Linked DNA regions of Saccharomyces cerevisiae S288C. Changing the gene in region 2 together with the main gene of any one other region gives a genetic interaction. Each region holds a gene or a part of one and is shown on either strand. Other genes may lie near its edges.

What was found. A genetic interaction does not mean that the proteins touch.
Region 1: mutations in DPB3 (region 2) and RRP8 together harm fitness more than expected from each alone (negative genetic interaction), as found in Saccharomyces cerevisiae (2 studies listed by BioGRID).
Region 3: mutations in DPB3 (region 2) and HOS3 together harm fitness more than expected from each alone (negative genetic interaction), as found in Saccharomyces cerevisiae (2 studies listed by BioGRID).

What each region holds. Positions count from the first base shown.
Region 1 is NC_001136.10:610,282-614,252, forward strand, and holds RRP8 (25S rRNA (adenine645-N1)-methyltransferase), read left to right. Parts: upstream 1-1,791; coding exon 1,792-2,970; downstream 2,971-3,971. Other genes in the region: STN1 (Stn1p), read left to right, coding at 160-1,644; TVP23 (Tvp23p), read right to left, coding at 3,124-3,723. UniProt on the Saccharomyces cerevisiae protein: S-adenosyl-L-methionine-dependent methyltransferase that specifically methylates the N(1) position of adenine 645 in 25S rRNA. Required both for ribosomal 40S and 60S subunits biogenesis. Required for efficient pre-rRNA cleavage at site A2.
Region 2 is NC_001134.8:758,619-761,399, reverse strand, and holds DPB3 (DNA polymerase epsilon noncatalytic subunit), read right to left. Parts: upstream 1,107-2,781; coding exon 501-1,106; downstream 1-500. Other genes in the region: PAF1 (Paf1p), read right to left, coding at 1-143; tyrosine/serine/threonine protein phosphatase PPS1, read left to right, coding at 1,357-2,781. UniProt on the Saccharomyces cerevisiae protein: As accessory component of the DNA polymerase epsilon (DNA polymerase II) participates in chromosomal DNA replication.
Region 3 is NC_001148.4:327,930-332,700, forward strand, and holds HOS3 (histone deacetylase), read left to right. Parts: upstream 1-1,676; coding exon 1,677-3,770; downstream 3,771-4,771. Other genes in the region: isopentenyl-diphosphate delta-isomerase IDI1, read right to left, coding at 1-801; GTPase-activating protein BEM3, read right to left, coding at 4,171-4,771. UniProt on the Saccharomyces cerevisiae protein: Responsible for the deacetylation of lysine residues on the N-terminal part of the core histones (H2A, H2B, H3 and H4).

The DNA of each region.
Region 1 (3,971 bases), on a different chromosome or scaffold from region 2:
AGCTATTCTAACAACAAAACCACGAATCACACCAAAAAGAAGTATGTAAAGGCATGGAAAAAGAAGTAAGCATTGGAATATATGAAATCCTGCTTGTTGATATTCCATTTCTGTGCGAAAAAAGAGCAATAAGCTGGCTTTTAATAATGGGTTGGAGCCATGGATAAGTACGGACATATAGCTCATCAAGAAGGCGATGTTTGTTATTATATTCCAAGGCTGTTCAAATACAACAGTTATTATAGTGGGACAGAGGACGTTCGAATATTTGTTGGAGATTTAAAGTACCGGATGAGAGTTTCTTTGCAAATTTGCGAAAAGTATTATGATAGGCGGTTGTCGATGTTGTTCTGGAAAAATCATCCTTTACAGCAAATACACCTTATTGGCTGCATCATTGGACTCCAGTTCAAATGGATTGGGAAACAAGAATACATTTTTTTTCAGTTGGACGATTGTACTTCAGACTCTTCATTGGTGGGTTATACTAGTGACATGAGATTCTTAACATGTAAAGTTAAGAAGGATAGCATCCTATCATGGGGGTTGAACATAACCGATTTGATAGGCTTAACTCTTCATGTCTACGGGCAAGCAAGTTTGAACTATCAAGAGCTTCAAGTTGAATATTTAAGATTATGCTACAGTTTAACGGAAGAAATAGATCATTGGAAAATCACAATGAACATGCGTGAGCAACTTGACACGCCTTGGTCCTTAAGCGATTTTGTAATTGGAGAATTGTTCACGCAAGAGCAAGAGTGGACACCTGAGACATCACAGATTGAGGTAGTAAACCCGGATTTTGTAGGTATAGGGTACAAAACCCCAGAAAGTAAAAGAAATGAAACTACTTTCATCGAGCAACTGCAAGAAGAACGCTTGAAGGATGAATTAGAAATTATTAGTCCATACAATAGCACAGATACTTCGAATAGTGTGCATTCCTTGTCATTTCGGTTTGTATCGTCGCTAAAGGATTTTCCTGAAACTCACTTTTTGAATTCAGGTGATCAAATTGACAACGGCAATGACGAACAGTTAAAAAAACTAGAATATCAAAGCGCTAATCTACCTGTGATGATTCCCAATAGGACATCAGCAAAGTCAAACTTGATGTTGATCCTATTAGGACTACAAATGAAAGAGATTTCTAATTCTGACCTTTACAAACTAAAGGAAGTACGCAGCGTAGTAACTAGCTTAGCATCGTTTTTGTTTCAACAACAAAATGTTGGCGTCATGAAATCTTTTGACTCTTTGGAAAAGGAAGCGTTTCGAGACCTGGTTAATCGTCTAGTCAGCCAGGGTTTGATCGGATTAAAAGATAAAACAAGTGAGACATTTGATTTGCTTCCTCTAAAAAATCTTTTTGAATATGCTGAAAAACGTATATCAGTTCTAATGAAGCTACAATGTTATACAGGCACTGTGCAATTAAGTCATGTTCAGGAAAAGCTACATTTGCCGTACATAACAACGAACGGCATCGTTGATGTTTTCAAAGAATGTCTTAAAAGGACAAAGAAACAGTATCCTGAGGTACTAAAAAATTGGTGGATTGATCTTGATCCGAAGAATGGTATGGAGGACCAAAACAGTGGAATATTATTACATTTGGAATACGCAGCAGCATATTCATAATTTGTTAGAAAACTCGCATCGTCAATAACGGCGCATCTCTCTAGGCCTGAAAAATTTTGCGATGAGCTCAAAATAAGATACTATAACTTTATGCATATATTGTATATATATTATATCAAACAAATAAGGACGTTAACGAAATTTTATATGGCCTTATTTAACGTAGAAGGTTGGTCTATTAAGACAAAAACCGTCGCTTTTGATAACAAGACTAATAAGTCTTCAAAAGATAAAAAAAAAAATAATAGAAAAAATGGCAAACTTACAAGAGAACAGAAGTTGAAAGAAGAGACAGAGGCTGAGTTGAAGGAACAAGTGGAAGACATTCCTTCCGAAGGATCAGTAGCCAAAGACATCCCAAAAAAAAACCAAGAGAAAAGTGATCAAAATGAAACGAGCAAGAAACGCAAGCACGATGAAGAAGCCCCTCTGATGCAAGTAAAAGAAAATATTGAAAAACCTACAAAGAAGCAACTAACCCCTTTACAACAAAAGATGATGGCTAAACTGACTGGTTCTAGATTTAGATGGATCAATGAACAACTGTATACAATTAGCTCTGATGAAGCTTTGAAATTAATAAAAGAACAACCACAATTATTTGACGAATATCATGATGGTTTTAGATCACAAGTGCAAGCATGGCCGGAAAATCCAGTTGATGTTTTTGTTGACCAAATTCGTTATAGATGCATGAAACCTGTGAATGCTCCAGGTGGGTTACCAGGTCTTAAGGATAGTAAAGAAATAGTTATTGCTGATATGGGGTGTGGTGAAGCTCAATTAGCATTAGAAATCAACAATTTTTTCAAAAATTACAATAAGAAAGCGAAGAAATATTTGAAAAGACGCCATAAAGTCCACAGTTTTGATTTGAAGAAAGCTAACGAAAGAATAACTGTGGCAGATATTAGAAATGTGCCGCTACCAGATGAGTCCTGTACTATAGTGGTCTTCTGCCTGGCTCTAATGGGTACAAATTTCCTCGATTTCATAAAAGAAGCTTATAGGATTTTAGCGCCAAGGGGTGAATTATGGATCGCAGAAATTAAATCAAGGTTTAGTGACGGCAAAGGTAATGAATTTGTAGACGCTTTGAAGCTGATGGGATTTTTTCACAAAAAGACCTTCGACGAGAATAAGATGTTTACAAGATTCGAATTTTTCAAGCCACCTGCGGAGATTATTGAAGAGAGAAGGCAGAAATTGGAAAGAAGACAAAAGTTTATTGAAGTTGAAACTGAGAAGGAAGAATTAGAAAAGAAAAGACGGAAAATTGCCGAAGGAAAATGGCTCTTGAAGCCCTGTATTTATAAAAGAAGATAACGACTTCATCCGTCATTTTCATATTTTAATATTGTTTTTTCTTTTGTATACTATATTTATACATATAATTGTATTCTTTTCCTGTAGTACATTGCGTAAAGTAAAAATCATCTAGAAGAAGTACTCCACAATGTTCACATGAGGGACAAGGTTTTATTGTCTCTGGAAAAACGATTGGATATTAGCCAGCCTTGAAAGATTTTCAAAGCCCGGAACAGAAGGAAGAGCGAACCAATTATTAGTATCTTGACCGTCAGATTGTCCACTATTGGGCTCCCATCTATCGCAACAACGAAATCCATACGTGTTCCAGGCGGTCAGACACATTGCAACAATGACCAAAATCAGGTAGAATATTTTCAGTCTTAAAAGACACAACACAGCGAAGACACCCCAGATTACGGGTGTCACATACATCGACCACCAGAATAACTTAGAATCGATGGCATTTATTGGTGGGCCCGGCGCATATTGCTTATATGATTCGAAAGTAAAATTAGAATCTTTGTTCACATCTGTAGAATCATACCACCAGCGTAATTGGACCAGTTTCCGACCTGTAATGTTTTTTGTTAAGTAAAAGTCAAAAGAAAGTAAAAGAACGACAGTGATGAATTGAGGTGTGAAATTCAAAAACATTGATCCTATGATATAAAATACAATGGGAACTGCCTTACCTGCCAGATGAAATGATAGTAGCAACGGGTGCGACGATTTTAAAATTGTGTTGTAGAAATTTCTTGCCTGGTCCATGTTTCATTCGTAATTAGAGCACCAGCAGGTTTATAAAAGCGTATTGAACCGTAAATCCTTTAAGAACCACGCTTTTCTACATTTACATTATGTACAGTTAAAATGGAAACGAAATCCCTTTTCACCCAAAGGCGCATTGCGGACAAATAATAGGTTCGAGGTCAAGGTAAACAGGAAGCAAGATGCAAAAGAAGTAACTGGAATGGAATGTATACATTGATATATAAATATGTATGACGCCTTCTATT
Region 2 (2,781 bases):
ATGTATAGTGAATTGATTAGTTGGGAGGAGTCTGCATTCGTCTCCGGAGACTCGGGGTAAACCAGAAGTTTAGGAGGTAATTGTGGCACAGGCAAGCTGTTTTGGTATTTTATTGGTGCAATATATTCCTGTTTTTTGGACATTGTGACCCTTTATACTATTATGAGCACTGTTCTATTGTACTGAATACATTTCTGTCTATAATTAACAACGTATCAATAATGACAGTATTAATTCATCCAATGTTACAGTCGTCATTTTTTTCTTTTTCCATTTCAGAAAGACAAATTAAGTTATTCGTGTAATGTGATTATTATTTTAAAGCCCTTGTTTTTCTTCCCTACATAACAGCTCTAACCTACAAAATATTAATTATCCCTAAGCTTTTTCGAGATGTCCTTTTAAAATAGTAAGTTCAAGGTTAGGGTTCTCATTGCGTGTATGTATATGTATAACATATTGCATCGAATAGTAATTACATAGCAATAATAGCAACAACACTAAGGATCGGTGCTTTTCGTATGGTCAACTTCGATATCAGAAGAGTCGGAGTGTTCTCCTACGTCTAGTGCGGATTTATACTGGAATCTCGACAGCAAGCTTGCCACACTGCGCGTGGATTTATCATTTTGTTGATCTTTACTATCATCAAGAAGTTCTTCATTGTGTACGGGCTCTTCTTCTTCGGATACCTCGTCTTCTTCTTCTTCTTCCTCTACACCATCATCCTCATGCAATTCAGGCTCTTCTATAACAACCTCTTGATCGCTCCGACCCGGTTGCATGTTTAGTTCTCTCTTCTTGTCGAGTGCGCTATTCTTCTTCAGTTGTTTAATGGCATCCTCTAGAAACCTGAAATTATCTCTTTTTTCGACACATTCTTCTATAGAATTTAGGCTTAATCGTAGGCTTGTCTTTCCTTTCGAATTCAGTTGTGCTAAGACCAGCGATTCTTCGACGAGATTCTGTACAAATAACTCAGCAGCGAATGCGGTCGCTGATATAGCTACATTAGATGTAATTACGTATTCGGGGTCGCATTTGGCAATCTTCTTTACTTTAGATATAGGAAAGACAGGTGCTTTTTCTTTAACTAAGTTGGACATTTTTTTTGCAACACGGTTGACCCTTGCTTGTTTTTATCTGTTGGGGCAGGCAGTTGTTAAGGCCATTAATTTCGCGTAATAAAAATAAATTATTACTTCAAAAGCATCATGGAAACATAATTGCAAGAGTTTTTAAGGTTCAAAAAGAAAAGTACAAGAAGAAGTAAAAAAGTGAAAAGAAACACCAACCATAAAAGAGAGATTGTCATTGAGGTAGAAGGGGCGGGTATAGAAAACTAGAGCAACAACCATGGTTTTGGAAGTGCCCTCAATCACACCTGGTGAACTGCATGATCTTATGCGACTACATCAGGATGCAGAATGGCCTGAATGTAAAAAAATGTTCCCCTGGGCTCATGATATTTCCTTTGGTCAACCACCCGATTTTCCTCATTCTCTTGCAATAGTCAAATCGCAATCAGATGCTAACAATTCTGCGCTTTTGCGTAATTCTCTCGAAGTGAATGATATCTTCCAGTCCTGGAAAGTTCGCACTTCCTTTCATAGAGAGGGCGATACCTGTGAAACTGGAAATGATTCTAATGGTTTTCAATATCCCAATAACACAAAGGAACTTTTGAACTTGCTAAAGTTTCAGATACGACAATTGGAATTGCAAGTGGATGATGTTGCTTTGGAAAACGCTGCTACTTATTGTCACAATCATAGCATTTTACCATTTCTGAAAGTAGATCCTCGTGGACTATCATTAGAACTTAAAAGGTATTCTAGAAACAAGGTTGGGTCTAATACCACGCTAAAACGGAGTGGGCAGGACGTCTGGGGAAGGAGAGGTCTATTCCGAAGGTTCGACCTGCAATGTGCCAAGATGATAGAAATGGTTGATAATATAGTAATTTATTGTTCGCGGACTGGTGGCAGCACTGATATGCAAACAGAATCAGCGCCAGCGTGCTCACACGAGGGAAATTGCCCCAATTGTACAACCCTTGCACTACTTTTACAGATCTGTTTAATGTTTGTTCAAAAGGGTTATGTAGGGAGTGGAGGATCGCTTTACAAGACGAATCTTTTTATTTGCACTTATCAGAATTTCAATACAGATATACCTCAAACTTTGATTGGTACACCTTTATTAGACAACGAATTTTTCAAGAATAATACTCCCTTGAATTTATGTTCGTCACCTAGTGAAATAGTGTGTTTCAATAACGTTGATAAGAATATGGTTTTGTGCGAGAAGTTAGAGTTGAATAAGCTGACTTCAGCTACACGATTGGAGGAAACAGGGTTGATTTGCGGTAACACCACTGATTGGCATAATTATCAAATAATTAAAAAAAACAATATATCTCTGACCCACCGTTTCGAAGAGAATACAAGCATAGTAAATTTAAAGTCTCTAAATTATGATACGGACAATCCGACAACCTCCATTTCTCAACTGTATAACATACCGAATACAAAAGAGGTGTGGAAATTGATCATAAAATGTACGTCAAACTCGCAAATGCCGTCGTTAACGAAAATCCGAACATATCTAGATCTTTTATTAGACGATGATGCGTCAAAATCACAAGAGCATTTGCATTTGACTTTCCCTGCCTCAGGTAGTATAGGTTTGGGGAACTTAAACATTCAGTCTGTGGAAATTCTTTTGAATGTTTGTTATTTAATATTTCAAGTATCCCAAGTTCAAGAATTATTGACGTTC
Region 3 (4,771 bases), on a different chromosome or scaffold from region 2:
GTTGAATAAGTAATTCTCGCAAATAATCTTAAACCAAGGCGTAAACTTGTAACTTGGGTCAGCAAACATAGTTTTCAAATCATTTGGTGAAACCCATTTGAAGTCTCTAACTTCATTGACGTTTGGGTTGACAGTCAAGTTTTCTTTAGCGTTGATCTTATAAAATAGGATGTAATCAATTTCATGTTCACCCCATGGTTCATTGCTTGGTGCCATGTAATGGATTCTGTTTAAAAAGTGAAACTTACCCCTTGTCTTAGTTTCATCTTCTGGAATACCTAATTCATGATCTAGTTTTCTCACCGCCGCAGTAATAGCGCCCTTAATCTTATCGTCTAGCTTACCCTTCAAACCTAATTCGTCATCAATACATAGTGGATGAGAGCAGCATGTGTTAGTCCAAAGATCAGGGAAAGTTATTTTTTCAGTGGCTCTTTGTTGTAAAAGTAATTCACCTTGTTCATTGAAAATAAAGACGGAGAATGCACGATGTAGTAAACCCTTTTCAATATTTTCCATTAAATGACAAACTTTCTTGGTACCGGCACCAATAGCATTATCGTCCCAATCCAAAACAATACAATTTTCATTCATTAACTTAATTTGCTCCTCATCATGACCAGAAAAACATGTTTCTCCGCTTTCGTCATTTGACGTCTCACTAGATCGGGTATTAGGTCTTTGTTGTAATGGAATAATTTCAGGAAACTCTTCCAAAATGTCTTCAGGTGTTTGGTTTTGCACTAATTTGGCGTAACTAGATACTGCACCATGGGGCATACTATTGTTGTCGGCAGTCATTGAGGTGTAATGAATTTTTGGCTTATTTTTACTCTTCCTGTATTCCAAATACGAATACTCTAATATTGAATTAAGTGGGATATACGCCTTCTTGTCACTAGAAAACTGTTTCCTGTTAAATAGATAAAAATGAATAAATAAATATAAATGGAGTTAAGACCGAAAAAGAAAGGCAACCCCCATCGACAAGAAAAGAGTTATGAATAATCATGTTTCTTAATAACAATTAAAGGGAAAAGAATCGGCTGGGCATCGTCATTGCGAAACTGTTGACTGGAAAAATTTCAATCACAATTAAGTTTTGTCCATTTCGTTCCAGCAAGAACGGAAACTTTTACCGATAGCAGCGGAAAAAAAGAAAAAAGAAAAAAAAAAGAAATTAATATAGGCAAAATAGCCGCATGAAGCCCTTAATAACCTATACTATTCTGTGACTGTTATTTATTTACCCTCGTAATATTAAAAATGTCCTATACAATTTCTGTAATAAAACCTAATTTTTTTAGGACCCTTGAGTGTTACCCTGCTCATGTTTTTATTTTTGTTTTAGAGAAATGTAAACAACAGTTTGGGAAAGTTTCAAGAATTGTAAACAACTAATCAAGGGATAATACTATTTTACTCTTTCCTTTAAACATGAAGAACTATTTTTTGTTTACGTTTTTTTCTGAATTGAACAATAAGATCTTGTTAATTTTTTTATCGCTTGATCTATTATCAGATCTTCTCTTTTGAAAAACTAGTCCTTTTCCAAATTACAAACTTTCTTTTCGTGTGGAGTTGATCAGTTCAGTTTCTCCAATACTTCTTAAGTCACTGAAAATATAACGAAAAAAAGGGCTCTGGAAGTAAACAGAGAAATTCGACGATATAATATGTCTTCCAAGCATTCAGATCCATTGGAGAGATTTTATAAGCAATTTCAAGCATTTGTTCAAAATAACCCTAATGTCATATCGGCAGCTCGAGCTGCCGCACAAATACCGGAATCTGCAAAAGCTGTTGTAGTACTATCCCCATATTCTTTACAGCATGTGTTCCCGAGAGAATGGGTAACAAAATCGTATAGGAAAACTATAGTCGAACGACCAGAAAGATTATTAGCAAGCTCGATGGGTATATCAGCTGCGATTACAATGTATCCATCCCTTTTCACCTTGAAATCCTCGCATCAAAGGAAAGGTTCATTGATGGCACCTCATGTGCTTAAAGTTCATGGCAGTAGCTGGCCGGCTGAGTTAATTGAACTTTGCCAAATGGCAGATGCTAAATTGCTAAAAGGCGAAATCGAAGTCCCAGATACTTGGAACTCAGGTGATATATACTTGAGCTCAAAGACAATTAAAGCTCTACAGGGAACAATTGGGGCCATTGAAACTGGTGTTGACTCAATTTTCAAAGGACCATCTGCAGAACATATTAGTAACAGAGCTTTTGTTGCTATACGGCCTCCTGGTCATCATTGCCACTATGGTACACCATCCGGCTTTTGTCTGTTAAACAATGCACATGTAGCCATAGAATATGCGTATGATACTTACAACGTCACGCATGTTGTCGTGCTTGATTTCGATCTACACCACGGTGATGGGACCCAAGACATTTGCTGGAAACGTGCGGGTTTCAAACCTGAGGAGGAACCTGAAGATTCATCTTATGATGATTTTGGTAAGAAATTTGCCGAATTTCCCAAAGTCGGTTATTTTTCTATGCATGATATAAATTCATTTCCAACAGAGTCGGGATTTGCCACAAAGGAGAACATTAAAAATGCATCTACCTGTATCATGAACTCTCATGACCTAAACATCTGGAATATTCACTTATCCAAATGGACAACCGAAGAAGAATTCAATGTATTATACAGGACAAAATATAGAACTTTATTTGCTAAAGCAGATGAATTTTTCAGGAGCGCAAAACTAGAAATGAATCAACAAGGGAGACCATTCAAAGGTTTGGTTGTCATAAGCGCAGGTTTCGATGCATCAGAATTTGAGCAAACTTCAATGCAAAGGCATAGTGTCAACGTTCCTACAAGTTTTTATACAACGTTCACCAAAGATGCATTGAAATTAGCACAAATGCACTGTCATGGCAAAGTTTTGTCTCTAATGGAGGGTGGATATTCTGATAAAGCTATATGTTCTGGTGTTTTCGCACATTTGATCGGTTTACAAAACCAAGATTGGGTTAAAGAATGGGGGTCTGAACAAGTCGTTAAAGAGATTGTTCGTGGTTGCAAACCGGCTTGGAAACCCTATAAGACAAAAAGAGCAAAAGATGTCATAAGAATATGGGCAGAAGAAGTTATCAGGCTGGGACGAGCAATGATACCGGAATTCGATGATATCATTTTTAAAGACGCAGTTAACAGCGCACCTTCTAATTCTCTACTAAAGGCTACTGTCGAACCAGCATCCACGTCGACAATTGCTCAAAGAATAATCAGATCTCATAGAAGCAACGCTTCCCCAGAAAAAGAACTTCATGAAAACAAGCCGAGAAGCACGGAAAAACAGGAACAAAGGGAAATTAGAAGCGATACCAAGGTCAAGCAGCTCTCGTCAAATAATAGAGCAGCTGAAACCCAAATTCCGTTTTTGCAACAAGAATTTTCCAGTGAGGATGAAGATGAAGAATACGTTTACGATGAAGAATTGAACAAAACTTTCAATCGCACGGTGGAGGATATTACCATTGATGATATTTCTAGACATTTGGAGACCTTAGAAATTGAAAAAAAAGGTGATGAAGATTCAGACCATGAGCTAAAAGAAAAAAATTGGAAAAACTCGCACCAACGCCGTCTACAAGGTAATGGAATGTATAAAATTCCCTCCAATACGAAACCGCATCGCATAAGACAGCCTCAAAACGCAAATACACCAACTTATGACGATAGTGATATATCAATGATTTCTCATGTTTCAAGAAAACATACAACAAGAAGTGGTGGAAGATGGTGATACCAATGCATATATAATGTTGTCTTGAACCCACTAAAGAAGTGACGCATATATTACTTTTTTGTATTTAGTAACACAATTTTTCTATTTTTATATTTCCTTGTATAGTTAGTAATTTTAATTTTTTTCCTTCTTTATCTCAGCTCTTCGACCATTTGGTCAAGAAGTTAGTTTTTTTCTCTTATTTTATTTGACAATATACTAATTTTATTATATGGTATTGTAAATAACATTTGAGGAATAAAAAGACAGTCACTCTATAAGCTTTATCAGCCTGACATTTTTTTATTATTACAAATATATCGTTGAAAGAAAGAAGCCTCTATACATCTCGCCCTCTTTCTATCATTAAATCAATGGAGGTTTACTGGCAACGTTATATTTCTACAATTTTAGACCATCAAACCTGAGGAATATGTATATCTACTTTCTCCCTTTCCTCTTCTTTAACTGGTTCACCACCCTGAAATATACACGCAAAGTCAGTGATGAATGGTTGAAGCATACTAATTGGAATATTTAGAGTTGGGGAAAACACGATGCATAAATTTCTTAGATTCATCTTATTAAACTTACTATTCTCATTGATCCTTACCAGCAGTTCAAAAAGAGCATACATCAACGATAGGTTAGCGTGAGGAACTAGGCCAGATTCAATAAGTTCCTTAAACCCCAATGATATTTGAACAGGATTATTATGATTTTCATCAACTACTCTTTTAAACGACAAAAATTGTTCGTCACCAAATAATAAATGGGGCAACTTTCTCAAGTACAACTTTAGTAACCCACTTACAGTATTCACACCAATGTAAAGACTTGGAGATGCCTCATCATCTTTAGCTTCAATACTTTCATTGTACCGACATAAATCTACATCGTACTCTTTATCAAACCTTTCTTGTAAAGTTTTGATAACTGTACTGGACCCGCTTAGTCTAAATATGCCTTCTTCCTGGATACCACGGTTTTTGTAAAGATACTCTAAGCAACGATAAACT